Linked DNA regions of Drosophila melanogaster. The protein of the gene in region 2 interacts with the protein of the main gene of each other region in a pairwise test. Each region holds a gene or a part of one and is shown on either strand. Other genes may lie near its edges. The genes, in order: CG4563, Hk and Obp56d.

The links.
Region 1: the proteins of Hk (region 2) and CG4563 interact in a two-hybrid assay, tested with the Drosophila melanogaster proteins (one large-scale study listed by BioGRID).
Region 3: the proteins of Hk (region 2) and Obp56d interact in a two-hybrid assay, tested with the Drosophila melanogaster proteins (one large-scale study listed by BioGRID).

What each region holds. Positions count from the first base shown.
Region 1 is NT_033778.4:24,447,536-24,458,133, forward strand, and holds CG4563 (uncharacterized protein), read right to left. Parts: upstream 5,506-10,598; 5' UTR 5,471-5,505; coding exon 5,321-5,470; intron 5,254-5,320; coding exon 4,859-5,253; intron 4,793-4,858; coding exon 4,676-4,792; intron 4,618-4,675; coding exon 3,666-4,617; 3' UTR 3,549-3,665; downstream 1-3,548.
Region 2 is NC_004354.4:10,251,241-10,262,173, forward strand, and holds the start of Hk (hyperkinetic), read right to left. Parts: upstream 5,429-10,933; 5' UTR 4,936-5,428; coding exon 4,872-4,935; intron 4,351-4,871; coding exon 4,253-4,350; intron 3,933-4,252; coding exon 3,480-3,932; intron 3,068-3,479; coding exon 2,763-3,067; intron 1-2,762.
Region 3 is NT_033778.4:19,700,021-19,709,344, forward strand, and holds Obp56d (Odorant-binding protein 56d), read right to left. Parts: upstream 3,896-9,324; 5' UTR 3,731-3,895; coding exon 3,683-3,730; intron 3,613-3,682; coding exon 3,265-3,612; 3' UTR 2,904-3,264; downstream 1-2,903. Other genes in the region: Obp56c (Odorant-binding protein 56c), read right to left, coding at 153-791, 950-1,048.

The DNA.
Region 1 (10,598 bases), on a different chromosome or scaffold from region 2:
AAGCTTTTTACACATTTTCGTTTATGGCTGCTGCCATTTCGGTCCGCATGCAGGACGTGCTGTCAAGGCTGTGCCTATTAGTCCTTGGCCGAAAGGACGCACCCTTGTTGTTGTTTCTGGAGCTGTGGACCTCTCTGTTTCGCTCAAATTGGAATGCCATAAAAATACGGAGGTACCTACTCCGCATGCTTGCTTATTTAAAAATCATCTGGGAAAACCGAGAAGAAAGAAAAGGGCAGCTTATTTCTGCTGTCACTGTCTCTGCTCCTGACTCGAGTTCCATTTGAGCCTTGGCCCGTCTCTTATCCTTTTCTTTTTCCCATTCTCATCTCCCACCACCTCCCTTTCCCCTTCGCAATGGCGCCCTTTCGTATCTGGTGTTTGTCTGCGTCGACTTCCGTTTCCGGTTGCACGCTCGCCATTGTTTCACCCCTTTTTATGACTTCTGGCGCACATGATTCTGACTCTGCCTCTGCCTTGCCACTGCCACTGCCTCTGCCTGTGAATCTGGCGTTTTGTTGGCTTTTGATGAATTTTTATTAAAAGCAAATGTCCAATGCACCAAAATGGAAATCCAAATCAAAGCGAAATGCCCAGAATGCTGCTGAATGAAAATGTCCATTCAATTTCTGGCCCATGCATCCGTTACGAGTGTGATGAATTCAAGAACTGATGTACAGCACTCCGTAAAAATTGAGATTTAATCAGAGAGCTTAAACTCGTTGGATCCCAATAACTGTCCGCAGTGACTGCTATTTATTCCTCTGTTTTTCGATGGCGCAACCTTTGACCTTCTCGGACCTTTTCGAACTTTGGCTCCAGTCAGCTGGAAGTTTGTTTGTTTCCTCCCAAGCCAACGAGCTTCGAATAGGAAGCGGGAGTGCCTTTCCCCAGACTTGGACACCCACCAAACAGAAATTTCGTGGCATTAGGCGGGATGCGCCACAATTAACCTCTTGAAATCGCCGACAGTTGCCATGCTGCGGAATGCTTTGGTAATTTGGCCCGTGGGCATCGTTTGCACAATGCTACTGATAAGGATGACCGGCGAGTGGGGATGATGGGCGGTGGGTGGTGTGCGGCGACCTTGGGCGTGATTTTGGCTATTTTTGGGGCATTGGCAACGGGTTGAAGTGATTTGATTTAATCATCGACGCGTAGGCCAGGACAACGACTGGCAATGAATAATTCATTGAGGCCTAACAACTTAAATTGCTTTGGCTGTAGGTCTTCATTGCAAAGTGTCCGAGTAGTCCTTTCAAGCTTCCAAGTGAATTTAAATCTCCGCATTTTAATTGGCTTATCCAATCTGTTATCTGCAATAAATTAAGAACAATAACCGAAGGTTTAGGGGTGGGCTTGTAACAATGGATTAGGTACATTGGATGTCGTATCTGTCAGTCCTTATCACAGAAATTTCTATTATAAATATTATTTTTACAGACCCTAAATTCCCTTCTGGGGAGCTTGAAATAACGAGTGTAAATTCAGAAGCACAAAGGCAGCAATTGCATTAACGTTCTCTTTACGACCACCTCCGATTCCATGGCAATTTGGCTATGTTTCGTGTTTTGGCCAAGAGCGGAGTCACAAGCCAACGGCAAACATTTGCGACATTAGCGATGAACATTTTTACCAGCTCCTGCAGCTGAAAGTGCTCTGCGATGATGCATTGCTGGCAGCAATGCAATTAAGAATGCCACCGACACGAGACCGGTCCACTCGCAGCCCGAATTCTCTGAATCACCTGGATCGCCCGCTGGACTCCACCCACGCAGGTCCTCCCACCAAATGGAGTCGAGAGCTTGCTGTAATAAACAATGGCAAATAGCATTCGAGTTGACAGCGAAACACTGAGACGGTAATTGCATGTAAACATGGTTGTTTGGAGGAGCAGTCTGCGCTGTGGTGTAGCTGAAGGTTCCCCGTGGTGCTGCCGTAATCAGGGAGGGGGTGGCGAATAAAGCAGGCCATGATCGGGTGTCCTCCGCAGATAAAGACGCTGCCTGCCACATCACTCAGCCGAGCGGGCAATCGGAGCCCTTCAGCTGCGTCCATCAATCAAACACTTGCCTCCGGCCGCGGAGTCAAGACCCTTGAGTCCTTTCAGCCGGCATCAATGGCAGGATCTGTTAAGTCCTTCGCCTACGATGGGTGATTCGGTATGGACGGCATGCCTGTCAGCAATCCGGCGAACCAAATCCGAAATCACCTCATGCGTTAGTCAAACGTCAATCACGCTTACAGGTGCCAGTACTGATTTTAGATCCATATTAACTAAAGTGAATAACCAAGCTATTCTGATATGAACATAAAAGTTAGAAATGCTTTCAATGACATTGATTTTTCGTCGCTAAGTCCATCTTATAATACCATTCATGATTGTGCATTTCATCAGCCTAATAACCTATTACTATCACAGAAAAATCTTTAAGGCAGCTCATGGTATTTTCGAGACCCTAAAGAAGAGCCAACACATTTTCAAATTATTGCCGAGCATTCCCACAAACTTGCAGCTGCAAACTCAAATGGAGAGCAGGCGATTTCAGAAATTTGCCACTGGATTCTCGAGGGCTTGTGGCATCCGGAGACGGACGCTGTGAGGGACGAGTCCTGGAATCTCGGAGCTGCTGAGATGTCCTATGGGCGTGGTCTGTGGCAAGAGCAGGCCGACGAACAGCGATTGTGCTTATGTTTATGCGCGCTTATTTACGACTTAGATTTGAATAATTTACGATGGCGACGACGGCGGGTCAAGAATGCAATGCGGGTGCAGTGGGATGCAGCAGAAGGGATGCGTCTTTAGGAGCCACTAGGACACTCCAGCCAGCCAGCAGCGAAAAGCAAACAGGACTACTATTGCTACATTGAACTTGCTGGGTTGGCCAGTCTGGTCATCTGTGTTTTTGCATAACCATAACCTGTGAAAGAGCAGCGAAATCGAGCAGATTGTGCCGCATGCGGCGGAAACAGCGGTTGCGATAGCTTTGAACGCAACCGGAAACACAAAATGCCACCATCGACCGGAAGGTAAATTATTGCAATCGGACGGCCAGGCATTTTCATTTCCATTTCCATAACCGTAAATTGCCGCATTTCGCCGTCACAAAAGGTGTTCATATACCAACAAGGATCAAACCATGGATTTGCCTCTTCCGCGCGCAATTCGCAATTATTCGGACTTTGGAGTCCGGAAAGCCACGTCGAGAGACCATTCGAACGTGGTTAAAAGCTATTCAAAACAGGGAACTGAATTAAATGCACTTTGCGGTGGTTGGTGGCTGTTTTAATTTACTGTGCTTTAACTGAGATTCTCGTTTTGCATAATTAATACTTTGCCACTATTATCTCTATCTGTGGGTAGATAAGTGGCGAAGTGCATGACAAGCAGTTTCTTTATTGAAGCTACATCTTATCTCTCGTTGCGTACCTAGCAATTTAATTAAATTCAAAATATAGATATTAAAGCAATGCGGATATGATATTCCTGATAGCATACCCACTTAATTAGAAAGAACAGACAACTTTAAGCCAACAGCTCGAAACGTAATCTATCAAATGTAAGTTTTAATTATCACGAATTAACAACAAGCAACAAGAACTTAATTTTGTCCTCACATTAAACCAGGTAGCTCAATTTTAAAAGTACATAGTGATTGTAGGTGTTAGAAGGTAATGGGCTTGGTTTTCTCGAACACCTCGCGTGCCAAACTCCTCATGACCTTGCCGTTGGCGTTCTTGGGGAACTTGTCCACGAAGATGACTCCGGCATTCAGCTGCTTGTAGTCCACCACCACCCGCTGGGCCACGTGGTCGATGACCTTCTGGTCGGCGATCTCGGCGCCCTCCTTCTTGATGATCAGGGCTCCGGCGGCGTCACCGTATCTCGCATCCCGCACGCCTACCACGCACACGTGCTCCACCTCCGGGAGCTCGGCGATGATCTGCTCAATCTCGTTGGGCCAGTAGTGCTTGGACTTGTACTTCAGCAGGTCCTTCTTGCGGTCCACCAAGTACAGGTTGTTGTCCTCGTCGAAGTAGCCCAGGTCGCCCAGGTTGATCCATCCATCCTGGAGGGTGGTGGCCGTGTCCTCCGGGTTCGAGAGGTAGCCCTCCCACTTCAGGCCGATGTCGATGAGCACCTCGCCCGTCTGATTCACGCCCAGCTGCTGGCCATCCTCGCCTTGGATCTTGATCCTCATGCCGGGCGCCAGTCTGCCTACAGAGCACTCCAGACTGTGGTCGATGTTGATGGTCACCACTCCCGTCTCCGTGGTTCCGTACGAGAACATCACGTAGGTCTTGGGCAGCAGCTCCTGGGCCCGCCGCAGTAGTGCCAGGGATATCCATCCTCCAATCACGAAGGCTATCTTCAGGGACTCCAGTTGCTCGCTGGTGGCCAGTGGACTGGTGAAGAGCTCGTAGGCCTGCCATGGCGCCATTGCCAGGCAGGTGACCTTGTACTTGCTGACCAGGTAGAGAGCCGTCTCGGCGCTAAATGTCCTCCTGGATATGATGCGAGTGAAGCCACATGTGAGATTCATTACGGTAATCGAGAATCCGGTCATCCAGTCGATGGTGGCACTGGTGTACAGCACATCGGTACTGATGCACAGCCTGTGGGAAGAGATGGGTTAGACTGGCTAGTCTGGGAGCTTTGAACTTGAGAACTCACGAGTTGGTGGATGCAATGTGGCGGTGGGAGAGGGCAACTGCCTTGGGCAAGCCAGCAGTGCCGGAGGAGCACAGGACCACGGCGATCTGGTCGCCACCAGTGGCCAGGGAAGCAGGTCTGAAAGATATTTAAAATAATGAATTTATTGAAATTTAAATTGATTGAAGATCTCAAACTACTCACACATAGATCTTCTCGGCGGGATGGGGCTTTACGAGGTCCTCGATGCTAGTAACGCCCTCCACTTTACCCGTGAGCGTGATCAGCTTGGGAGACCACTCCTTGGTGATCTCCTTGATGCGGTCGTAGTCCGGACCGTCGATGAACATGATCTTGGGTTTGGTCACCGAGTAGAGACCCTGTACGATGGCCGGCTCCCTGGAGTAGTTGACGGCGTGGAAGGGCGTGGCCTGGAAGAAGCAGGCGGTGGCCACGGGGATCACGAAGGTGCTCGAGTTGGCGATGATCCCGACGCGGTCCTCCTGGGTCAAGCCCTCGCTCTTAAAGAATAGGGCAATCCGGGTGGCGTAGGCCAGCATGTCGGCGTTGGTCAGCACGGTGCCGTCGTCGTCGGTGATCTACTTTTATATAATCGAGCTCATCAGATTCCCGTCTCCGCCGGCTACCAGTCACGCAATCGTTTACCTGAATCACATTGGTGGGCCAGCACCTCAGGGAGTTGAACACGATCTGACCGACCGAGGTGTTGTGGTCGTAGACCGTGGGCCGTGGCGGGCCACTCCAGACCTGGGTCTCCTTGTTGAAGAAGGTGGGGAAAACCGCCTTTGTCGGCATTTTGCTAGTCCAATTCTAAATCTCTACTGAGTGCCCAGAGCCGTTACGTTGTCTTTTTATATCGCCCTGAAGGGGCGCTTATCATATCAATTAAGCAATTAATCGCTACACTTGCCGAGTCCAAAGTTTGGCCAAAATAAGTCGAAGATTTACGGTAACATCAGCTGATTCCCGAGGTGGGCTCGTCTAATCTAGCCGGAGTCACTTTTTTAATTTCCGCTCCAGGAGGCAGTGACTTCCGTACCACTTGTCCCATGGGAACACCTTTCAGAGGCAGGTGAGTAAGCAAACTTCGCCGGGGTCAAAAGTATTAATTCCCGAACTTTTGTCAGATAAAAAGCTGTACTATATTCTTAGAAAAATATTTAACAGATAGATTCTGACGAACGATATCTTGGAAACTATAAGGGATTACCTTGCAAGTACAATATTTTTCGTTCTAATTTGATTGCACCTGGTATTACTTGGACGTGGCATAAAAAATGTATTTTGTGATTGATTAACAGAGAATTGCGCTTTATATTGTAAATAGTTTTAAGCTCGTGATATTAAATATCCTTTGAAGTATCTATTTGACCCGCCTGGAACGTTTACTTTAAGTTTTCAGAAACTATTTCGCCAGCTTAACCTGAACTTAAATGTTGTTCTGCGCCGCTTTCAAAGGACTCTCCGAAATAGTTCCTTTTAAATGAACTCAACGCCGGCATTTTATTATGGCTGTAATAATTTCGGGGAGGGCCACGCCCTGTTGCGCTATTTGCATTGTGTGTCGGCGCCCCAAAAGGGGGGCTGTACCTCGAAAAGCTCCGGGAGTTCGGTTGCATGCATATATTAACATGAAATTACAGACAGAGCGGCCAAAAGCGAGCAAAATAGTTTAAAGTGTTTCTGAATTTGTTTGGCAAAATGAGCAGGACCCGGCGAAATGCATAAGCAAGGACCCGGACAAGATGCTCCCGACGATTGGCATGCAAATGGGGGGTGCCACCGCAGGAAACTGCATCTTAAGGCTTTAAGTCCTACGGACTTTCGGGCAGGACGAGCCGCCGTTCCGAGTCAGCGAGTGCGAGTGCGAGTGCGATTGCGATTGCGATGCCGATTTGATTGGCGGTTTTGGGCGCCAGTCCTGGCGGGTTACCCCAACGTGGTCTCCTTGCCCACTCGGGCGTGACACGAGGCGTCAGTTAATAATGTGCGTTATAATGAGATGCCCCCACCTCCCAGGTGATTCCACCGCAAGTATGTCGGGTTGACGAGATGCTATGGCCGTACTTGTGGATGACTAATCCGACGGACAGACAGCCAGTTTGTGCTTCAAGTGCCGGCTTAATTAATTAACATCACTCGAGTGCGAACTGTTACATAATTGAATTAGCAGTCGATGGCTGATAAGGAAATACTATTATTCCACGGCTTATCGCCCTCCGCGTCACTAATTCTTTCTGAATGAAAGTGCACCTGCGCTTGGGGGTTTCACCTGTGTGATAAGACTAAAACTTTGTTGCCAGGATGGCGAGGTAACTGTGTCTCAAGTGCAAATAGTTGCATAATACGGCGGACTGTCGATGCCTGATAAGAATACTATTTCACTGGAGATCCCTATTGTTTTCTGAATGAATATAGGCTTCCTTGATGGGGTTCCAAATTTTCGATAAGAAATTAGTGGAGAAACTAATTGGGCCCACTGATATCTAGTTTGTAAGCAGGCGGCTTATCAGCTCCAACACTGCCCACCGTGAGACATCATTTTGCATTTGATTTTAATGGTTCCCACAATTGGAATACCACCTCTAGATAATAAGTCATTTTAAGCTCGAAGTTAATTATTAATATTCACTGCAATATAGAGATATATACTTAGATCCTAGATACGATGGTCACTTTCATAAACTATAGTTTCCGTACTTTTTTCGCACTTGCTTCCAACTGTCTGGTATCAGCGGTGTGCGGTCAGTGTCCCTGACCTTAGACACCAATCCCCCGGTGGCTCGGTGGAAAACATTTGGATTTGCGTTCGGGGCCTTATCACGCTTATCACACTTGTTGGTGGTCCGCCACGTGCTCGACGGATGCCGCCGAAGCGCAACTGTCATAAATCTTGCATACGCACCGTGGGCATGCGCAAAACGGGTTCCGATTCCGCAGCATTCCGAAACATCGCCCCATTCATAAAGCCCGGCGATGTTTCTTGGCCGAGGATTCGGGCTCCGACTCGGATGCAGCACACCCGATGCTGGGAAGGAACGGACCAACAGTCTGCTGTCTGGGGACTTGGACACGCTCAGACAGTTTGCGGTGATTCCTTCGACGAGGCGGTTGCAGCTCGGCTCACGAGTTGGTCGGAAAATCACTCACGGGATCCGTTTGAGTTGGGGAGCCCAAGGGGTAAGGACTCAGGCCACGAATTAGCCACAGATAAGGGCCTAACATATTGCCAAACTAGTCAGTGCGGTTAGCAAAAAGTTTGCTCAAGTGTTGTTAAGTGCTGCGAAGTTAGCCGTGGTAGTTAAGTGCGCTCGAAACTGAAACTCGGCCCATTCGCAGTTGGCCCTCACACGTCGAAAGTTTTTTGGGCCCAACCCTTCACTCGGGCCTGTCCCTCCTTTCCTTCCTGGCCTGTCAAAATGTTTTGTTCCGAACTTTTCCTCCTGGCCCCCAACAATTGAAGTTTTGACAACGAAATTTAGTTAAGCAAAGCTGCCGCGGTTTCGTTTCTTTTCCGGCCCAACTGCAGAGCGGAGTTTGTGGAAAAGTGCGCTTTTCAGTCCTTCGATCCTGTTTGGTTAACTACGTGAACCGCCAGCAAAGTGAACAGATTGGGCGTGTGATGTGAATGTGAATGGTGAGTGCAACGAACGTCCTTTGAAAAGTGTACACTCGATTCCATTGATGAACTTTACTTGAAGCATTTTATTGTACAAGCAGGTTTTTGAAGTATCTGAGATAATAAAACAATATCACGATATCAATAGATCAATTAAAGTTTAAAGTTTTCATAACCATTAAAATTGAAAAATAATATCCGCATGCACACCATATATTGTGTGGATGAAAGCACTAGCTTCAGCTTGTTGTGGAACAAATCTTAAATTTGTTTTAGTTTTTTCTCGGGAATATGTCAATTATTACAGCTTCATTGAATTGTTTCCCTAGAAACCAGCTATTCGCTTGTAGTCTAATTTGGAAGAATCCGAAAGTCCTTTTAGAGGCCTTTTGTTGGACATTTCAGTGTGTTACTACTTCTGTAATTGCTACTTTATCGTAGCTTCGTGTCCCATTATGAAATGGACACAAGGAGCCCACGAATCCCAGAGGGTCAGCCCCAGGCGCATAAATATGCCCCGGCTTGTCGGAGGGACCCACTCGCATTACAATACCCACTGAGAAGGACCAGAAATTGTGCGTGTCGCATCTATAATTAAGTGAATATAGAGCATGCTGGGCCCACCAGAAGGAATTTCCTGTCCCTACGCATTTCCCAGAACATTAGCACCAGAAATGGAACCAAACAGAGCCAAACATGCCGTCTTGGCCACTGGAGAATGGATTTGGATGTGCGGGGTATTTGTGTGGCATTTGCGAGAATGCCTGGCAATTGCATATGTATTTGAGTGAATATTCATCATAGAGAATGGGGAAGTTCAAAGGACCAATATCGGCCCGTCGTCATGTTTCTTGGTAATTTTTCAAGGTTCTGTTCCAACGATTCCATCGAGTTCATAAAGTTCACAATGTTACCTCAGCTCACCTCTTTAGCCCAACTGATTGCGCTTGATATTGTGGCGTCTGGTATTTCGGGGCCCTTGTATTGTCAATAAGGACATTCTTCAACAACTCTGGCCAACATCAAAGGGAACCACACCCACATTCAAACACAAGGCGGGAAATCCCCCTGCCGCTCGCCACACAGCAACTACAGGCGCCCAATCAAAACACAACACAACACTTGCAAAAGGAAGCTGGGGAAGTCAATTAAATTAGCCATAATATACGGCAAATGTTTGCCTAGCTACTGTACAGTGGGCCCCCCGTGCACGGACTTAACACCCTGTGTGTGCCACTGTCCCCGTTTGCATTTGGCTGCTCATGAGTAATGTGCACACATAATTATGAAAAATACACAAGCCACTCGACCGAACGAACTACAGTGGAGCCTCGCTACGCTCGACACCCTAGGTGCTCCACTGCTCCACTGTTTGTTTGCTTGTCTTGGCTACACGTCTGTGGGAGATGGAGATCTGTGCTTTAAACAACAAAACATCCAATTCCGCAGGGCAAATAATTTAATTACCGACTGGACGTTAACACAAATTTTACTGGTAATAAATTTAGAAGCCTCTTGGAAGAATATAATTTACGACTTATGGCCCATTAAGCACTGGAGCACTGCATCATGGGGGTAAATTAACTGATGATTGACCTGTTCACTCGCAAACTCGCCCTCGGCCAAATGGGCAACTAAAATGTGGGCAAATCATAAAATCTGGTGAGGCCATGAGTATCGAGCTCCTTAAATTTCATATCAAGCTGAAATTGTTGCACTTAATCGAATGTCAAACAGTTTCAGCCAACACTTTCCCTGTCTAAAACTGGTAGCAATCATGACTGTAACTTTGTTAGATATTAGTACAAGCCCATACCCTGGCTGTCGAGTCCTGGCTGTCTGGTTACTTGAACCCGGGGTCAGCAGGACTATTTGTAGGGGTCCGTAAGCCATCGAAACATTTGCGGACCCGCCCATGATAACTCTGTTCAAGTGGCTCAACTCTCCGGAATTCCTAAGCAAGGGGCTCAGCGGCAAGGGGAGGACACAAAACACTTACATAAAGAACAAAATCTGCGATAAATCCACAAAACCGAAAAACCGAATAACGAAAAAATGCAGAAAATATACGAATGAGAGCATGAAAATTATGGGCAGCAATATTTTTGCCAGCTTTGTTGCTCTGCCATTTGGCATTTCTGTGGCCTAGACGACGACACACCCACAGAGACACAAGGCATGGCTTAAATAAATAAAATAAATCAAAAATGTAAATCAACACTCAAACGTGTATCTGTGTGTCTGTGTGTGTGTGAGTGTGTGTGGGGCTGGGATAATAATTCGCACACATGTGTGGGCAAAGGA
Region 2 (10,933 bases):
TTGCTCTGTTTCTTCTGGTTTTCCCTATCTCTTTAGTATCCTTCCCTAAAGTATTCTTCTTTTGCGGTTGCAAATTGGCCCGGCATGTTTCTTTATTCTCCAAGTGGGAGTGTGGAAAAGCCAGTGGGCTTATGCGTGTGTGTGTGTGTGTGTGTTGGAATCTGCGAGTGTATATGTGCGTTGGTGTGAGTGGAGTGTGTTTCTGTGTCCTGCATTCGTGTGTGTGTGTGTGTTTGTAGTAGTACTACAGATGGATGGAAATGCGTGTTTTTTACGAGATTGCCTTTTCGGCTTATGCTCTGGGGCCTACATGGCCTTTCCTTCTGGTAAAATGCATATATGTATGTACTCTCGTTTATATGCTGCACACACGTGCATATATATGTTTTTCGCTGACACATAAATACCCTATAAGTACTCATCTTTAAGGTTCCTCAGGACCACAGACTCCAGAATAACTGGCTGCCCGCTTAAGTAGGCAATATAAATTCACTTTGAGTGCAACCAAATTCGTGGATTGAATCATAAGCAGAAATAGTATATTTTTTGAAAAGGCCCACGTATAACAAAACAATTCTTTTTTTATAACAAAGCTAAAATAAATATAACAAAGTTTTGGCAAAAATAAAGTTGATTAAAAAAATAAAGGATTCTTCATTCCGGATTTAGCTTCTTAAATAAAAAATATCTAAACACTGTTTAGAAAACCCTTTGTGACGGAAGCTAGCTTTTAATAAAAGTGCATCGAAACACTCTAAAAGCCCCATTATAAGCCACCCTTTTTTGATCGAAATAAATGGCCAAGGACTGCGGCTAATGCATTGGCTTGGGAACCGGGCTGGAACGAATCCAAATATTGCACAAATGGCGCCGGAGTAATAATGAATAATGTATAAGTGCAAAGAAGTCACTTGCCAAAGGCCATAACCAACACCCCCGGTCAGCTTTCAATGGATATAAGTGTTTAAATACACAGCCGCGCCGCGTTATGTGGGCCATATAAAATATGAATCTAACTGCATGGGAATATTAAATTACACTTTGCGCTCGGCAAGCAAAATTAATTCACAGAAGCCCGTAGCAATTAAAAGGCACTTACTCACGGCAATTGATTGCGTTTCGGATTTCGTTTTTGCACATAAATGTTGGATGATGTTACGGTTAGATGCCTCAATTTCGATCCGATTGCCGGAACAGCGGACTGCAGACTGCAGGCTGTGCCAAATCAAATATAATAAAACCCCGGTTCTCCCGGCTACAAACGGTCGGAAATGCACCTGTGCGCTGATGGGGTTTACCTGGCAGGTCGATTAATGACTTGGCCTTAATGAAAAATTAACCATTTTAATTTGAGGCCAACGCAGAAGCATGTTATTTGCTAATTTTCCCATCAAGCTTAAGGCGCGCAAAGTGCTCGCATAGTAATTACGTTAGAATAGAAACCGCGGCGTTTAAATCAAGTTACTGTAGAATTTCCATTAAAAATTAACCTGGATTGATTTCTTAATTAACCTGGAATGATTTCTTTTACGCTTTAACCTTTCATTTGTTTTCAACATATAACTAAATAGAAATATTGTATAGCATTCTGAATTTCTTGCTGGAATTGCAAACACAGATTTCATTTGAAATGCATTTATTTTGCGATGCACCTAGCCCACTGCACGTGGGCGCCATCTGTGGCATGCAAATGCAACTGCCTGCTGTATTACATGGCGTATACTTGATATGCCTCGCTTTTTACATGCCACTTACACGGATTCTACATGCAACTTTCGTAGCATACTTTTCAGGGTTAAGTGCACTACTCAGATTTGTTTCGAACTTTTCGCAAAAAGTTTCATTGAATGCCCTTTTGTTGTTATTTAATTGTATGAGTCATAAAAACAATTGTGCCACGAAAATCACTCATTTCACTTGGACGAGGTAAAAGCTTCTGGAAGAAGTCCAAGAAGAAAATAAAAAAAAACAAGGTGGCCTGACTTAATGCCGCGAAACGCAGTTCAAACAATGTAAGGAAAATGCAAATAATCCGATTCTGTATAATTGCACACTTTTGCCGAGAACACTTAATAAGATGCGACAGCGGATACATTTACATTTTCTGGGAAAACAGTTCGTGTTCATTTAAGTTACTTCTTTAATATGGCAATTTGTAGATACTTTTTATATCCTCTGCTAAAATTGTTACTCATTAAATACCTAAGCAAATGTATGCAAATATATATTAAGCAAAAGTGTTATTTTTTAATAAGTAAATCACTTTTCATCGAGTTCGTAGCTAGAGTCATGATTTTTCATTCTTCAGCACACACAATAAAATCGAACCATAAAATCGGTTTAATAGAGTGATACCCTTATCGCCTTATTTACTGCCTTTCCACGCTGACAATCCCGTCAATGAACCATATTCAGTTAAATTTCATAGGAATGGGGACATTTTACACGATGATGATCAAATTTAATACGCTCTTTTATTACATTACACTTTGTATGTGATGCTCGTCTGGCATTCATTGATTTTGGAGTGCGAAATCAGGCCACACAAGAATTTTGCTAGAACAAAGGACTTCAAAGTTGGACAATGGCTGCTTCGGACAATTTTTGACTTTTGCACAGCAGGGCAAGGGATTTTTGCTTTGTCGGTTTTGCCAACATAATAAAACTTGTTGGTGTAGTGTACAATTTAGTTGGCTTTTATATCAAACTTATATATATATATAATACATATATTTTGCGGCTAGTTGTTAGATTGTACTCACATGATGCGGTGGTAGGCATCGAGCTGGTTGTGCGCACAGGTCACGGACTGCTCAGATTCGGTGGAATCATCGCGCAGCGTTGCAACGCCGAGCGGCAGAATCGGTATGATCGCAGCTGTGGCAGCTGCGGCCGTTGCCGGCGGCCCCGCCAATGTCGCCGATTGTCCCGCTCCCGCTCCTGCTACTGCAACCGCTATCGCTGTCCCGCTTCCAGGTACCGCTGCTGACGCTCCTCTGCCCGCCCCGACTGCGCTGCCAGGGAAGGTCTGCTGTGTGGAGGATGATGATGTCGTACTATCGAGCTCCTGTTCAAAGTGAGTTCCCAAAGAAAGTATATTTAGCTAAGCGGCTCATCATTGAAAAGGTGGACAAAAGCGGTGTATCAAAGGATCTAAAATAGAGGGGTTCCTTGAGTTTCTTAAGCTACAAAGAAAACTATAACGTTTATTTAAAGAGTAAAGTGATCACCCAACCAATCATAAATGAAGATAGCTTATCAAAAACATTTATAAATTAATTCAATTGAACTAAATCTATAAAATAAATGAAATTCATGCCAATAGCAAAAGTTTGAAGGCTTTAACGGGCTCTTTTGTCCACCTTCCGGTCATGGAAAAGTTGCAGCTGGCAGGTGCGAAATGAAATGGATGGGTGGGCGTGGGTTCTAAAAAGGGGTTAAGGCAGTGGGGGTTTTAGTGGTGGTTAGTGATGAAAAACCTTGATCTCGCCGGTTTCCGGCTGCGAGAATCGCTTCCGCTCGTAAAGAATCTCCCGCTCGATGGAGCGACTCCGGAAGGCGGGGGGCAGCGATCGATCGGGGGGAGGTGTCTGCAACTTTGGGGTCACTGGTGTGTTGCTGCTGCCGCTGCCCGTTGACTGTTGTTGCTGCTGCTGTTGCTGCTGCTGCAGATGCTGTTGCTGCAGATGCAAATGCTGCCGCTGCTGTTGCTGCTGCGAATGCGAATGTGTCTGGTGGGCGGCGGCTGCGGTGGACGAGGTGGGCGGACTTTTCTCGCTGGACTGCTGCTGATCGCGATGCTGCTGCTGCAGATGCTCGCGGTGCTGCTGCAGTTGTTGCTGCTGCTGGCGCTGCTGCTGCTGCTCGTCCCGCTTCTGCTGGCGGCGTATCTCAAAGTCCAGCAGACGGGCCTCGCGTTGCTCCTTGTCGCGCTGTTTGCATGCAATTGTCGCAAAGTGCATTCTTACTATCAGGTTTAATGGATTATCGCATGGCCATCGTTATTATTGCTGTTGCATTTTCAATTACTGCTTCATTTGGATTTGCTTTCTTTTCTTATCTATACTTTTTTTTATAATTTTTCTTGGTACTCTTTTCTTTTTCTTTTTTTCTTTTGAGGGATTACATTGGCTTTATCAAATTGTTAATTTGTTTGCACGCGCGGTAGACACACACACGCACACCGAATTGGCCGCGACAGAAAGAGATAGGGAGAAGGCAGACAGAGAGAGGCACACACACACACACTCACCTTGTAGTTGATAGCGTCCTGCTCTTCCTTTTTCGCCTCGCGCTCGTTTCGCTGTCGATCGCGTTGCTTCTCTTCGTCGGTCTGCGAGTTCTTGCTGTCTATATAATTTAAGGAAAGTATTAAAAAATGATTAACAAATAAGGGAAATAATAGTAAATCAATCAAAAAAAATTCAAGTTAAATGGATCAACGTTAAAGAACATATCAAAATATATTTAAATCAAAGGATAGATTAAAACATGACAGAGAAAATGTAGAAACATAAATGTTAGAAATATATGAAAAACATAGAAATAATCCAAGAAATCCATAAGAATAGAAAGAGAGAGAGAGAGAGAGAGAGACGGGGGAGAAAAAGAGGCCATGTTCAAACTGTTTCAATCGATTCTCATTATTGTATTTCAATTTGCAATTATTTTACTGTCATCCTCTACTCAAGCACTAAGCATGCAAGTTGAAAAGTTCTAAATGGTCGGATAAAACAACTTGCAGCATGCACATCTACAGCTCGCACTCTTATACACACGCACACACACGCTCTCAACTACAAATATATGTCTTTATATATAAATATATATATATATATATACACAGTTCAAGGCCACGCCCCCCTACTTACGCTGCTCCCCATCGCGCCCACCACGCACTGCCATCAAATAGCGACTCAGCCGAGGCGGTGTCATACTAATTCGCACCTTTCGACAGGTGAAAAGCCCACACGGAATCAACAGTCGTCAGTTGCGGCCGAAGAGCCAGGCGAAACTGACACTGAGCACCAACATGCGGCCCACTAAAAACATAAAGCTAAACACTGAACCCAAAACACTAAACACAACCAAAGTTGACCGCGGCCCAATTAGTGTCATCTTCTCGGGAGGATTAATGCCCAGCTGCGAGTGTTCGCGGCAACCAGACAGATATGCATTTTGCGGTAGTGTGACCAAGTCACGCACGTAATTTGGAATTGCGGTGGGCACACTGATTGCATTAAAGTTAATTCACAGTCAATATCAATTTCAATATCTACACATCAACACGATTGCCATTTGTTTGCATTTTTGTATTTCTCACGTTCGTTAATTATTTGACTTATTTAAATTGGTGTTTTTTTCCTCTTTTTATTATTTTTTCGGAGCATTCCCACTTTGAGGAGCGGCCTCTACTCGACTAACACTCAACATTTGGTTTGCTGCCGTCGTTTTGCTTGCCTCGTACATTTATGCTTCCCATGAATATTTGAGCTTTGAGCTTTGGCCTTGGCTTCAACCGATTCAACCCACCACAAGAGCACAAGAGTTCACCAAGTGCGTCACAAGCGGTGAGTAAACACTTATTTGAGTCACTGTGTTGTGGTGGATTAAAATTGATCATAGGAAAGTTGTAATTGCAAGCGAATTTTTTAAGTTATATTTAAAGCCATTTTTCACTTATTATTTTTCACTTATTTACCTGTGTGTGTATAAAACATCATTTTCTATGCAAAACGAAGAAAACCGGTTTACTTTCCATAGCATATGTATATACTTTTTAGCCCCAAGCCTTGGCAAATACTCAAATTGCCGTTACACAGTTTACTCATTTTATATTCTAGTTATCTGTTTAACCTTTTCGCAAGCTTCAAGCGTATGCAATTATCTTGTTCTACCCTTTTGATGACTTCAAAGAGGCCCGAGTGCCGCTAGTTGAGCGCCACAAGCTTACACCTGGCCCACCTTTGACCCCGTTCCATTCACAAACTACTTGCACACATACACACAGACGCATCAGGGTCTTCATTTTGTAGTATCATCATCGTAGTGTCATTATTATTATCATCATCAAAGCTCTACGAAAAATGCGAAAACAAAAACTAACCGAAAAATGTAAGACAACTAAGGGGAAACAAGGAACGTGGAACGAAACGAACTACACGTAACGTAACGGAACAACCAACGGAACGGAACAGCGGAATAACGGAACTCGCTATGTAGAGGGGGGGGGGGGGGGGGGCTTATTGTAGTTGGTTTCATTTGGTCTATGGGGTTTCTAATGGGAATCTGTTTGTGGCCTAATGGTTTCTATTTCCATTAAGCCAACACTACGAGACCAGAGAGAGACAAAGACAGAGAGAGAGAGAGAGAGAGACGGAGAGAGGCGGGTTGTGTGAGACAGAAAGAGAAAGAAATTCTTCCTTACCTCAATGTGTTTTTTTTCTGATGTTGTACTTGTGGTGATGATGTTGTTCTTGTTGTGTCGAATTTGATTTTGATTATATTTTAGTAACGATTCTTGTCGAATTTGGCAATTGATTACACGCGATCGCGACGCGTACCGAAACGATTGGAATGGTATTAGTACCGTTAGGTGAGTGCGGTGTGTCTGAGTGTGTCTTTTAAGAAAGAGATAGACATATAGGCAGATAGAAAGAGAGGAGAGACTGAAAGGGAGAGATCTCCGTTTTCGATTTAATTCTGTATTTTCTTATTTTTGTATTCTTTCGCTTGTAATTCGTATTTGTTAGACGTGATTCCTTAGTTTTATGATTCCTTTTTTTATTGTGTGTTGAACATAGAAGACAATACAATCAAAGAAGAGCAAAGAAAAGAAGTACAACAAATAAATCTTCAATTATTTCGTACTTAAATCGGAACTAAATCTTATGTTTATTGATTGGGGAGAGCCAATAGACATTGTTTTTTAGTATTTTAATACAATAAAAGAATTTTGGCTAGCCCCAAAATAAAATCTATTTGTATGGACTATCGAATGATAGAAAACCAAGGAAAATAAGGGATTATTATCCTCGAATTTATCCTTTAAGCCGGATTACCTCTCTCTTTGGCTCTGGTTTTCTGGGCCTTGACTACAGTTACGCTATATTATAATATATTTGGTATGTGGCAAAATATATGGTTATACCCATGTAACATTAAGAAAAGAAGGAATTGGTTATCATCGACTATATATGTAAAGAGAGATATACTTTATGTGGCTTTCACATCTAAGAGGAGTCACTTAACAAACGTACCACATACAGACATACGTACAGACAAGATACATATATATGTTAAATACAGATAGATATACAGAGAGAGGACTCACAGGATGGCCTAGTCATACAAAAAAGAAGTGGAACCAAAGAACAAACGATAATCGCACTCCCTATAGACTATACACGGGCTATATATGAATGTATTATCATCGCTTTCGGTTATATCGATCAATTAGATTACATAGACATCGAGGGACGAACAACACAAACGAAGTGGGAATCGGTTTTGTTTGTTTTTTCTTTTTTTTTCGTTTTTTTTGGGGGTGGGGTGGTGGTTAGGGATGGGAAGTATTACGAATAGTAATAGTGGAGGGTCCAAGGTGCTGCCCCGCATGCGCAACCCGTAAGACTCACTTGAGGAACCGCCGCCAGCGCCCGGTGGCGGGTAGGAGAACCAAAATTGATGGGCCAGTTTGGAGTGGGGCCCAACCGAGGGGCTGTCTGGAAAGAGGACGTGGTATAGGTTAGTCAGGGTCCCATATGCAGGGCTCAATGGGGGAGGATCAAACGGATTTGGCACCAATAAAGGTGTTTAAAAGTATGCAATATCTTTAGACCTTTGTTAAAGTCTGCTATCTCTTTAATCATTTCTTTTGAAAAGTTCAAATCTCCGTGATCCTCCATAACCGAAACCTATCGCAATCCGATTCCACGGTGGAATACTCACCGATAAACAAGTCCTGTTGCTTGCGCTTGTGTGCGTGAGCCTGTGGAAGGACCTCAGTGGTTTTTCAGTTGTCCAGTTATCCAGTTGAACTGTTTTTCCAGTCTATGACCAGGCACGTGCGTTGAATTGAGTGAGGCTGGGTCCGACTGGGGATGGATGGTTCCAATGGTACTGCCAGATGGCCAGATATCCAGTTAGCCAAATAGAGAAGCGCCTAGGGCGTGTCAGTGGTTCATTTCGGCGCTTGGGGAATTTACCGAGCAACACGGCGATGGTCACCCGCTGGCCCAATGGTTTACTAATGGGAGCCGGAAAAAACACACAACAAACAAATTAGAGTCGTACGCAAATTGGGGCCATCAACTTACTGACTTGTAGTCAACCATGTGGCAAGTAATCAACCTAACCTACGCATACACACACACTTACACACACACATAGTCGCATACACTGTGAATAATAAAGTGCAGCTAGTACGTAATTAACATGTTCCACTGTTGAATTGTCATAGAAAAGAAAATAAATACTGCTACTAGCAGATCAACATGGAAAGCCAAAGAAACTTTCTGATAGGTATAATAAAAAAGGCACTTTAAAATATAAGAAAATATATATGTTTTGCTCCTTTTTGTCTAGTGTAAGGCTAAGCATTAGCAACCGCAAAATGCCGAATGGCTGTGGCAAGCAAATCTGGTTAACCATGGCAAATCAAATCGAATGGCATTACATCAGCGAGAGCCACTCGAGGGTTAAGTGGCTGGCTGCATGGGTTAATGGGGGTAGAAGAGGACTCGGAGCAGCTTTTATGCCATCTGTATGGGCTTAGGCACCAGCATGTGAAAATGGGTCAAAAACGTGACTCTTTGGCGATAAGAAAACGGTGGGTGGGTGGAGCTGGGCGTTGGAAATGTGGACAAAAGGCGGTTTTAAAAAGTGGGCGAAGTAGTATGGCCCAAGGGGCGGGGCGGTCCTAACCTTTCCAACACAAAAGAATACCATCAAATGACACTGTTTTCAGTTAGGCATTTGACGTTTCGCTTAATTTTTACAACCAGATAATTGGAGGCTTTTTAATTTGTACTTTTTGGTGTAGATTTCATGGGTTTATGTTCGAGCTAATTAACCGGTTTATCTTAATTATGTTGTTATGAATTTGTGTTAATTTATATTTGATTGTTTATCTGTAAACGAAACAGGTAATTTTGGTGTAAATAGAAATCAATTTGTTTAGTTTGTTTATGGTTTTCGCCATCTTTTTCCATCTATGATTTAATGAATTTTCAGGAACATGTGTGGTTTTACTCTCCATATTTGGGTCACTTTATCAGCGGAAGTTCTCCTTTTGTCATCGCTTCAACTTTGCCATTTGAGCATCCTTTTTTGACCGAAAATTGCTGTATTTTATAATTTTTATTACGCCTTGTTTTGTTTTCTAATTTAATTAATTTGGTAAGAGTGCTTTTGTGTTAGCTGGTACAACAACCATTATGAAATTTCATTGCTTGCCATCTACTCACACAGACACACACACACGCACACACTCGGAAAAAAACAACAACAACTCGGCCTAGGGCAAGACCACCAACAACACACCCGTTAATGTGATTGAGCGCGGGGGGAGCGGGCAGGTCCTGTTGCGACCCAAAAGGGAAAACAACTGTTAATTAATGCTATTGTGAATTTTTACGCACTTTATTTCTCTTTTCCAGCACAACAACAAAAAAAACTAGGAACACACACACACACACTGGCAAAAAAAATGGGCAACAAACAGGAGCAGAGAGTGGGTGGGAGAGGGAGAGGGATAGCGGAGGAAGAGAGTGAGAAATTCGCAATTTGGCACACTGCGAATTACCGTTGTGCCACTCACTGCTGCTGCTGCCGCTGCGTTTTGGTTTATTTCCTGTCCATGCCACTGTCAAAATCGGGACACGTTACTAATGCGTAAAACGCTGGCCAAAAACTCCAAAGAAAAAAATATGAAATCAACATGAAAATAGAAACGCAATCAGAGCCAAATGGAGGAAATGCAGGAAAAGCGTGAAAAACGAACTAGGACTCAACTCGACGGAGGCGGCGCCCTTGCAACTGCTTGCTGCTCTGCTTGCGACTGCCTGCGACTGCGACTGTGGCTGCTGCTTGCGCGTTTGCGACTGCTGCGGCTCCTCTGCTGCGGCTTCTGCTGCTGCTGCTGCTGTTGCGTCGGCTCCCTTCGCCAAATGCGAGTGCGTGCGATGGCGACGAGGGACGCGGAGCAGGAAGCTGCGCCGGAGGTGCAAGCCGACCAGAGCGGCCCCACATGATTAAAAAGCTAACGGGGAGCGTCGCAGGACATCTGCAGAGAGCGCATGCCGCCGCCAGAGAGAACAAGAGAGAAAGCTTCTGCCCACAGAGACACATTTCGCAGGCAGTGCTGGCCGTTCGAATGAAAGGATTAAAGCTCTTTCTAGCTTGAAAATTTACATTTCTATAAATCAGTCCGTCATTATTTTAGCTGTGTTGCCTATTTTCCCAAAATTAATGGAAAACGCCCTTTGTACACATCCCATTGCAGCCAAATAACTTTCTCCGATTTTCTGTCCAAACACAATTAGTTTTATGCCATAAAACTAGTAATAATAGTTCAAATATGGAATGTGATGTCTCGTTGAGCTGGTAATTTAATTTCCAATCGAACTGTATTTACAAATGAAAATTCTATTTTTTGGCAATTTTTTGCAAATTTTGATGATGTTACCCCTTACAAAAAATGCGAAAATTTACCCAAAAATTAATTTTCCTAAATCCTCCAGAAAGTGATAGGGTTCGTTAGTATGGGTAATTAGCTGCTCAAAACAGTTATTCTTACATCTATATGAGCATTTTTAGCCAAGTTATGACGAAAATTCCAATTGTAAATATCAACTTTTTGGCAAAACCCGTTTTTCCGAATTTCGGTCATCAAATAATCAGTTTTTTTGCCACAACTTTAAAAATAATTGTC
Region 3 (9,324 bases), on a different chromosome or scaffold from region 2:
CTCTTGTTTTTATTTTATTTTATAGCTTTAAAACTCTCAAACGCTGAATAAGTTACAATTTAAGTACTTATTCATACATACATTTAAATAATAAGTGGATTTTCTATATAGCAAACACCGATAAGAAATAAGACCTACAAGTACACAGCTATTTACTCCGACTTAGCGGTGGTCATTGCTTCTCCGGAATGCTGGATGCCGTCGATAAAGTCGCTGCCCTCCGGACCGAATCCCTCGTTCTCCGCCTCGGTCCGCTCAAGTATCTCACGGATACGCTGCTCCGCCTCCAGAGTTTTCAGGTGATTGTAGCACAGGTGCAGCTTGTAGGCTGCCTCGCATCGTGTTTTGCCCTGAAGATCACTACACTCCTTGATCTCCGCCTTCTCATGCTGTATGATCGTTTGCACCTGATTCTTAAAGGCCTCCTCCAGCAGGACATTGTACCTATCCAAATCCAGGGTCTCATACAGACAGCTCACAAAGCACTGCAGCGGCTCATTATGCTTCAGATCGAGATATGGCATCTGCGAGTTGCCATTGAAGTCCAGATCACCCAGGTTATTTACATCGCCAATGGATTGAACTGGCGTAGGGGCTATATCGTTGTCATTATTGTAGTCGCTGTTCATCAGGCTCATGTGAAAGAGTTTCAGTTGCGACATTGAGATCTCGGTCCTACGCATACAAGCCCTCAGCATCTCCTGGCTGAGTTTGTTTTCTGTTCCATTTGGCGGATCTGGAACCAGGGTTCGTGTCATCGACATGTTCAGCGAGACGGAAAGCGATCGGGTCTGTGGATGAAATGTATTTTTGTAAAAATTATATATTGTCTCTATGTATTCCAATATGTCTTTTTAGTTGTAAGAAAATTTGATTCACTTCCCTTTTTTAATATTTACCTTGTAAATATAAAACATATAATTCCAAGTACTACATAAGTCGAATTTACAAAAGATATATAAAATATGAAAAACATTACCCATGCTTTAGAAACGAATTCACTAAGAGTGAGGCAAAGCAATGCCATCAAACTGGCTCGAAAATACATCTAAGAAATATTTTTAAAATTTGTTTGACGATTTACTATAAAAACTTTTCAACTATAGAGCCTGTTGCGATTTAACAAAAGCCTTTTATAGAGTCGTCTTTATGGAAATCGGTTTAAATTGCTATTTAATTGTCGCTCAAATCGATTGCCAAATCATGTTCATGCCTCACTTGCTAGGCCCATCAGGTAATCATATTCAGATACATCGCATATAATGTGTCATGCATCAGTGGATTGCCAATAGCATTTTTGGGTGAGAACTCAAATTAGCATTCGCCAAAAACACTCATCTGACTTATTTAATGGTCTCTATAATTGCACAAATACAAAAAGGTTTGCAAAAAGTTTCAGGTTCAATTTGGTAGATGAATCTACAAAACATTTAAGTACTGCTCTATAAAGGTGTTTTAAAAACGGTACAACCATTGTTGGCAATTTCAATTAAAATAATCATTGTAATTTTTGACTAATTTGTTTTTGCAAGCAATGTGGGTTTTTCTTGTTGTAGTTGTGGAAACATAAAAAAATACAACCAGAAGTTTTAATTAGATTATGGAAGTGGTTACAAGCTGTATGCGGAAAAATGATAGTACATAGAACACGTTTTCCTTCTAAGATAAAATTATTATATTCCTTACTAGTCTAGTTGTATTGCAAACAAATTCAATCACATTAGTTCAAGCCACAGCAACTGGTTTACTTGAACTCCTTCTTTCTTTGGACCACTCTAATTGACGGACTTAATAACAGACTTCTGCTGATAATCGGAAACACAACCGCAGCATCCCCAGCCACATCACATATTGGTCTTTAAGATCAAAGAAACTTCACATGGACGGACAAAAAGCGAGAGACATCGGAGCATGAAACAAGCAAGTGGCAGCCACCCTGCAGCGAAGTTTTTATAAAATTAAATTACATTAATGTGAGAACCGCAGGGAAAGCCTCCCCCTTCAAAGCATCAGCACTCAACCCCAACTCCAGCGATATCCTTGGTCCTTGGCCATTGAAAGCCAACTAACGGGAGCAAGACAAGTCAAACAAGACGGCCAAGACAAAGGCTGATGTCGAGCATCAATGTGCTACCATCTCACGCGTGTTGGCTCCTTTGACAAGCCGCCATGGCTGTCTACTTAAATGCATTAGCTCGGGGGGGTGGAATCCTTCGATTGGGCTGCCTTTTTAATAGACATTAGTAAACGCATCAGTGATTGTTTGTTCGGTTGGCCGGGAAGGCCATCGGCCATCGGCCATCAGCTCTTGTGCAGACAACTGCAACTGAAACGGATGCTAAATGGAAGTGACATTACAGCCAGACCGACCCCAGGAAGTGACAAAATGAATTATGGACCCTGGCTGCGATCCAAACTCCCCAAAAGCCAAAGTCAAAGCCAAAGTCGGAACAATTGTTCCCTCCGATGCCACCTGATCCATGTTGAACCAGTAAATGCAATTGCGACACGTGCTCAATGAATGTTTAATGATTTGTTAATTGGATTTGGGCTTTTAAAAACACGGCTCCCCGTGTCCAATTCATTTGCTCGAACCCCAACGCATCCTGTATCGCCGGGATCCCAGGTCTTTGTGCCAATAAGTTTGCCGTCGCTCATCAATATTTATGCCAAACATGAGCGGCCAAATGCCTCTGGGATCGCCGCTCTGTACCAGGGACTTAAGCCCCTGACGACGGTCTGACAGTGGTTGGTCCTTAATGACGGCCCACTGTTATGCAAATGGGTACGCGGCCAAAACGCAAATGGGTCATACAGTGGAGCATCCATTGACAAGTCGAATATGCATAAGTAATTATGTATAAGAATTTCACCTTAATTTCCTTTGAGACACAATAAAAGGCGTTCTCTGTTAGGGGTTTACGTAAGTTATTTTCCTGGAAGGTTCCTTTAAGTTTTTGTTGGACAGCTAAAAAGTTATTTGATCAAACGTTTAACATTAATATTTAAAATATTAACAAATGCCAAGTGAGATTCTAGGAGAGTTATGTAAAAGCTTTAAGCATGATCTTCTATTTGGAACATAGTCTCGCAAAGGTTTCTTGTCAAGTTTTTTTTTAAAAACGAAATATATTCTTGAGTTTATTATTCAAAACATTTACAGATCTAAAAATTTTGTTTACGAATTGATATACTGAATTAAAACAATATAAGTAACAAGTCACAGACAGATTATCACACAGGAGAATATCGGAGATTTGGCGCTTAGATGTGGGCGCGATTCTTGTAGTAGCACTCGAATAGCTGATAGGCAGTATCGCACTTATCCGCTCCCTTGGTGGCATCACACTTGGCCTGAACGGCCTTCACGGCATCCTCGCCGGCCAGGGGTCCCAACTTGGCCAGAACGACATCGGGCTGGACCTCACCATTGATCAGGAATCCGATTTTCTCCAAGAAACAATTGGCGAAGCATTTCACCTTGGGGTCACTGTCATCGAAATTGCCGTTTCGCAAGGCGATCGCCTGATCCTTGGTGATTCCCTCCTGCTGGGCACAAAGGGCGCCATTGGCATGGGCCACAGCCTTCTGCTCATCGGATAGTTGCAGCTCCTATAAGATATATTCAAAAGATACACTTAGCAATACTACCCCTTTAAATCAGAAACTATTTGTAACTCACAGCAGCCGAAATGGCCAAAATGACGGAGAGGACAATCAGGAACTTCATTTTCGGTAGAGATGTTGTTGGAAACCCTTTGGTATCGAAACTGTTGAATTTATTCTGTTAGCATCTGCCTTTTATACGATTTTGCATGCAGCTTCGTCAGAGTTTTGTTTTGATTATCGCTTTTTGTTTTCGCTCTACTCCGCTGATCACACTGTATAAGCAATTATTACACATACACACGGCAATACACCGGTTAGTTTACTTAAACCCTCTCCGATCTTGTTGATAACCCGAAACTGACTCACTTTTTTTTACCATTTCGGTTTAAAGTTCAACAGATACTCGAATCAGTAAATGAAGCAAGTTCACTGCGGCTTTCCATTGTACCTATAATTGGCCCTAATGCCCCAGACTCGGGCTTATTATTAGGCTAAAATCGCTTCAAAGCCATAATGTAAGTGCTAATTGTAGTTTCAGATTTTCCACCGATTAAAAGTGTGTTGTACTTCCCAAGGGTCAGAGTGCCCAGCGAAGCGTCAACGTCAACTAATTTGATTTAACAATACACGTAACTCCAAAACCTTAAACTTGAAATACAATCTAACGTTGATTTTTATGGAGGTGTTAAAACAAAGTGCATGCAAAGCATGATAGGGGAGTTTTAGAGAATAGAATATAAAAGCAACATTTTATATTACTTACAAAAATTTTTAGTAACACTTAAAATTTAATATAAGTTAACGGAGGCCATGAGATGCTCGAATTATTTGTAAGCCTTATATAAGGTCTGCGCTTAAATATATTTCTTCATTCCCTATATATAACCCTTATAACCAAAATATATCTATTAATACCACCATTATAAAATTTGTCTCATATTAATAAGGCTACCTCATTACCGCAACAAATTATTTCTTGGTGATTCTAATGCCATTATTAATAATTAAATAATTTTGTTAATAGACCCTTTTTTTGAAATAAGTCTGATATTACATGATAAAATTAATGACGAACGTCTGATTCGTCAAACCTGTTTTAACTTTGTCAGTTGTTCTCCTACCTATTTTTATTGTTTTGTTGGTTTTTTCCAAAGTCTGAAGTCAAGTGCGGTTATCAAAGTCCAAATATTCAGATGACTCTCAAAATCTCAAGTCCGTGCGATCAAACTAAACTGGTTTGCAGATTAATTTGTGGCACAGATGTGTCTAGCTGATTAACAATTAAAGTGACATTCGGGTAATTTGCTGATGTATGTATATATATGTATATATTTATGCATGAGTTTTAAGCGGAACCGTTTAAGTCGGCTAACTGCCCGAATTATTTAATTATGGTAATAGAGGCAGCTACCAAAGTTGATGCCTACGTGCCAGAACTTTGCCTCATATATTTTATCAATATTTACTGCTGACAGCATCGATAATTCATGACCTACTCAAACTATATACCGGTGCCTGGGTCACCCCCTGGACTTTCGGAGACGAAGTTACCGGAGCGAACTGGTAAATAGTTACGCACGCCAGGGAAAACAAATGTCAGAACGATTATTGCGGCCCATCGTCGCCTGCCAGGGCCATAACAAAAGTAAAATATTTAAATAGTAATAAATTCATAATGTCATCGTGTATAATGCCCCACAGCTCCTATCGGAGACCTTCCAACGATTTATAGACAATAATAACTGCAAACACGAAGCGGTGGCTGACTCCTCAAGTAGTTTGATTTCAGTTCAAGGAGGTGGAGGTAGCCTATTCAACTTTTCCAGCTTTTCCACCTGGTGAAGAAGTTCGCTGTCCCCAAAAGTTTCCTGTAGTGGAAAGGAATAAAACTGTTTTATCGTAGACATGATAGAACGGGAATGAATGTCGCATGCGACTCATATATAATATAAATATTAAATACTATATGGCATGCCATAAAAATATAAACAGCACATAAAACGACAATGAAAAACAATGGCACACGTTATTAAATATGTGTGCCCGAAGAACTGGTAACGGCTAATGAAATGTCATCGGACCCGAGGGCTCAACTCAACTCAACTCAGCTCAGCTCAGTTGAACTGAAATGCAAATGTCACGCGAAAAACTATTTGACGACAACATTACGTTGACATAATAATAATGCCGTCAACCGTTGAAGAACCCCAACTTAAAGGCAAAAGCTCGGCTAGAAGTCATATGCAAATTTTACGAGCTTCTCATGACCGGTCATAAAAGTCAATTTATTAGCTATGGGAAATTAAAAAGGAGAACAATTAAATAAGTGCAAAGCGTGAATTTGATTACGGTCAGCGCTTACTAAAGTTGCAATTTTCATAAATCATTTGGACTAGAACCAGAAGTTTTATTTAGACCAACAGATTAGAAAAGGAAAGCAAGGTTTATAATAAAATATATTCAGCTCTCACTAAAAGTTAATAATACCAATTCAGTTAATAACTGGAAATCGGTAATTGTGGCAGTTGTTTCTCTACATATCTGATGAAAATCAATAATTTAAAGATAATAAATGCAAGCGGTATCCTATAATGGCAGCTGTGTAATTAATTATAACCAATGGCGAGATAGGACCTCCAGCTCCCAATTCCGCAAGCCTAGCAAAAAGCTACAGAAATTCAATTAGGCTTATCCCATGCAATAACAACACCGGAAGCAACAACAAGAGAGCTACGGAACAGCTGCAACACCTGCGCAATTAATTAGTGTTTGCCGCATTAATTTCAGAAAATAAAAAGAGATGGCCGAAAGGAAACCAGAGCCACCACCAGATGGGATAAGATAGGCACCCTTTAGGGTCAAAACCCAGCGTTGGCTAATAAATACAGAAAGGCCCCATCCAGCGTCCTTGGCTCTTCCACAACTGGAGCAGAACATTCTCAATGGACCACAAAGGCAGTGGAACACTAAGCCACTTAAATCAAATAAAGCAAATTCAGTTAATTTAAATTATAATGAGGCCCAGTGCCAGCGCGGAACATTGAATACTATTTGCTGATGAAAAGATGAAACGTAAGCTAAAAACTTGTGTAAATATAGTGGCCTATTTGCTAAAGATAGGTAGGTTTTGAACTATTTACGTTGGGATTAAATTTTATAATGTCTCATTTTTTAATTGCTGTAGACTTAGTGCTACAAATAATATGTATAAAAAGTATGCTACAATCCAATGGGCAATCTTTTTTCCCCAAGGCACGCATTAAAACTGGGAAAGATATCATAATTTCCACTTCTATAATTTGTTTACGATTATGGCCGCATGCAAAATAAAACGCATTTAAGTAATTAAGTCATAAAAAAAAGTAGCGTGCTGGGTTTGCTCCATAAAAACCGACCCGTCTGCAATAAAATGCCAAAAACAAAACAATTAGGCAATTAAATGTCTTGGTATTACCAAAAATTTTCGTTTTGGTAACAAAACGCGTCATAAAATAAGCCAAAATGTACTTGGCCACCGGGAATACGAGTGGAGGCCCTAAAAATGGATCACAAGTGGGGGAAATTATGTGAAAATGTCTGCACTGGCCGTTTTTTGTTCTTTTCTTGGAATCCGCTCTTGTCTCCCTTTGACATCCCAATAAAAACGCAAAAGAAAAAGGCGATTGCCAATGCGTATGCGAGTGTTTTAGTAATATTTATTGAATTCCAGTTAACGAACCCAGAACCGATGGAGCGTTGGATAAGGGACAATGTGCGAAACACAAAAGGAGGGGAAAAGTATAGGGACGGGCCAACAGTCAAGCAAAGCTTACAAAGCTTTTCAACGCACATTTTCCGAAACCGTCGCCGCATCCCGAAACTGCTGAAAAATTCCGAGCTCTGCAAAATGAATTCTTTTGTGACAAGTTCAATTCGGTTGAGGGACAAGTCAGTGGCTGGGATGCGGAGTTCATATGGAACTCCGACCGAACTGTAGCTGCTGCTGCTCGAGACCTCGAAACCTCCAATCCTCCTATCCTCCTATCCCCCTGTCATATAACGCATCAAAGACGGGCCAGGTGAAGGAATGCAGTGCTCGTTCTGTAAGAAATTGAAAAACCCAAACGGGGGGGAAGCCGTCGAAGCACCCAGCCCGATGATGGGAAAAATGGAAAATCTCAAGCTGCGAAAATCAGCAGCAAACGCGCTGCTTTCGTTCGCATTATTGTCATGATGCTGTGGATATTTTGCTGTGCGCTCGGAATTTTTAATAAACGTTTAAGTTTATAACATTCTCAGCTTGGTATCGCACCTCTGTGTAATCTTTATGCCACATATCGACGAGTCGGCTTATCCTGCAGCTGGCGAAAAGAAAGACTTCTTAACTTGGCGAACTTCAGCCAAAAGGTAATCCAGGGGCATAAAGAGTCTCACATAAAACCAACTAATTAGGCAAAGCATCTAATTAGACGCACAACAAGGACATGCGTCCTTTTGTGCCGCCTCGTAAAAGCCAAAGCCCCCAAATGACAGCGTCGCTAAAAATTCTTATCGCTGGTACCAAAATTAAGCTCCAACCGGGGAGCCAGGATACCGAAAAACGGCGAGGAAAAGCCCGGAAAAAATTTATTGTGGCAAAGGTTAAAGACGGGCGCCATGTTAAATGTGGAAATTGTTTAATCCACTCCAATCCAGCGCGGCAATTACAATTACAGGGTCCGTGGTCAGCTGCATGAAATTGGAACTCCGTCCGAGGGATAAACTTGATGGAAAAAAGGAGATTCTGTTCTGTCGAAAAAAAGGAACAACCTGAATATAAAGGACAAAACCTATTTGCATTTTATTTTCTTTGTAATTTGATGCTCGATTGCTTTTTTTAGTGTGTAATGAGGTGGGCTCCAAATGGGTTTAATACACACATTCCGCTGGCACCAGAAGACAAAGTTAAAAAAAAACTTATCCCACGCATGGCTGGTCCCATTTAAACGTTTAGTTTTTGTCTTTTAATGAGTTTTATAACAAAAAAGAATGGAAAAAGAACTATGTTATGTTTAGTTTACTTTAAAAATATAATTATTATTCAGATGGAAAAACCAGAATTTACAATATAAAATTCTTATTTCTGCAACTACATTTTGCATATTCTGCCAACTGAAAACAAAGCCATGAAATGTTTCGCACAATAATTGTTTTTAATTTTCATTGGCCGAAAAATATTCGAATAATAGAGTGAAGCCTGTGGCTTCTTTTGCGAAATTTCCATTCCATGGCACGCACGATTGCATCCAGAATACCCGGAGAATATTTAGGCGCCCTAAGAGGAAACTGACATTGCGACGTGCAAATTGATCAAAATAAATTGCATAAAATATTCCATTTACGTTCCCATTCCGAATGGAGCTGCCCCGAAAATTATTGTAAGCATCTAATGCAATCAGAAAGTGTTGCAACGCCTTGGGGCAGATGGGCCAAAACAATTCGCATCGAGCCATTAATTTGCTTCCCAACTGGTTGGGCAGCGTTTCTGTTTTGAGTTATGCCCGGAATTTGTGATAAGCTATGCGGATTACGGACTGAAAATACCAAGGAAACTGAGCTTTCTTTTCCGGAACTTGGCTGTCAAGGTGGGTGGGTGGTTTTCTTTGGAGGGTGGCGAAGGCAGGGGAAAGGAAAATATTTTAGCAGTCAGATAACGGATACCACTAGCATGCTGTTAAAATAATTAGTGGGAAACAG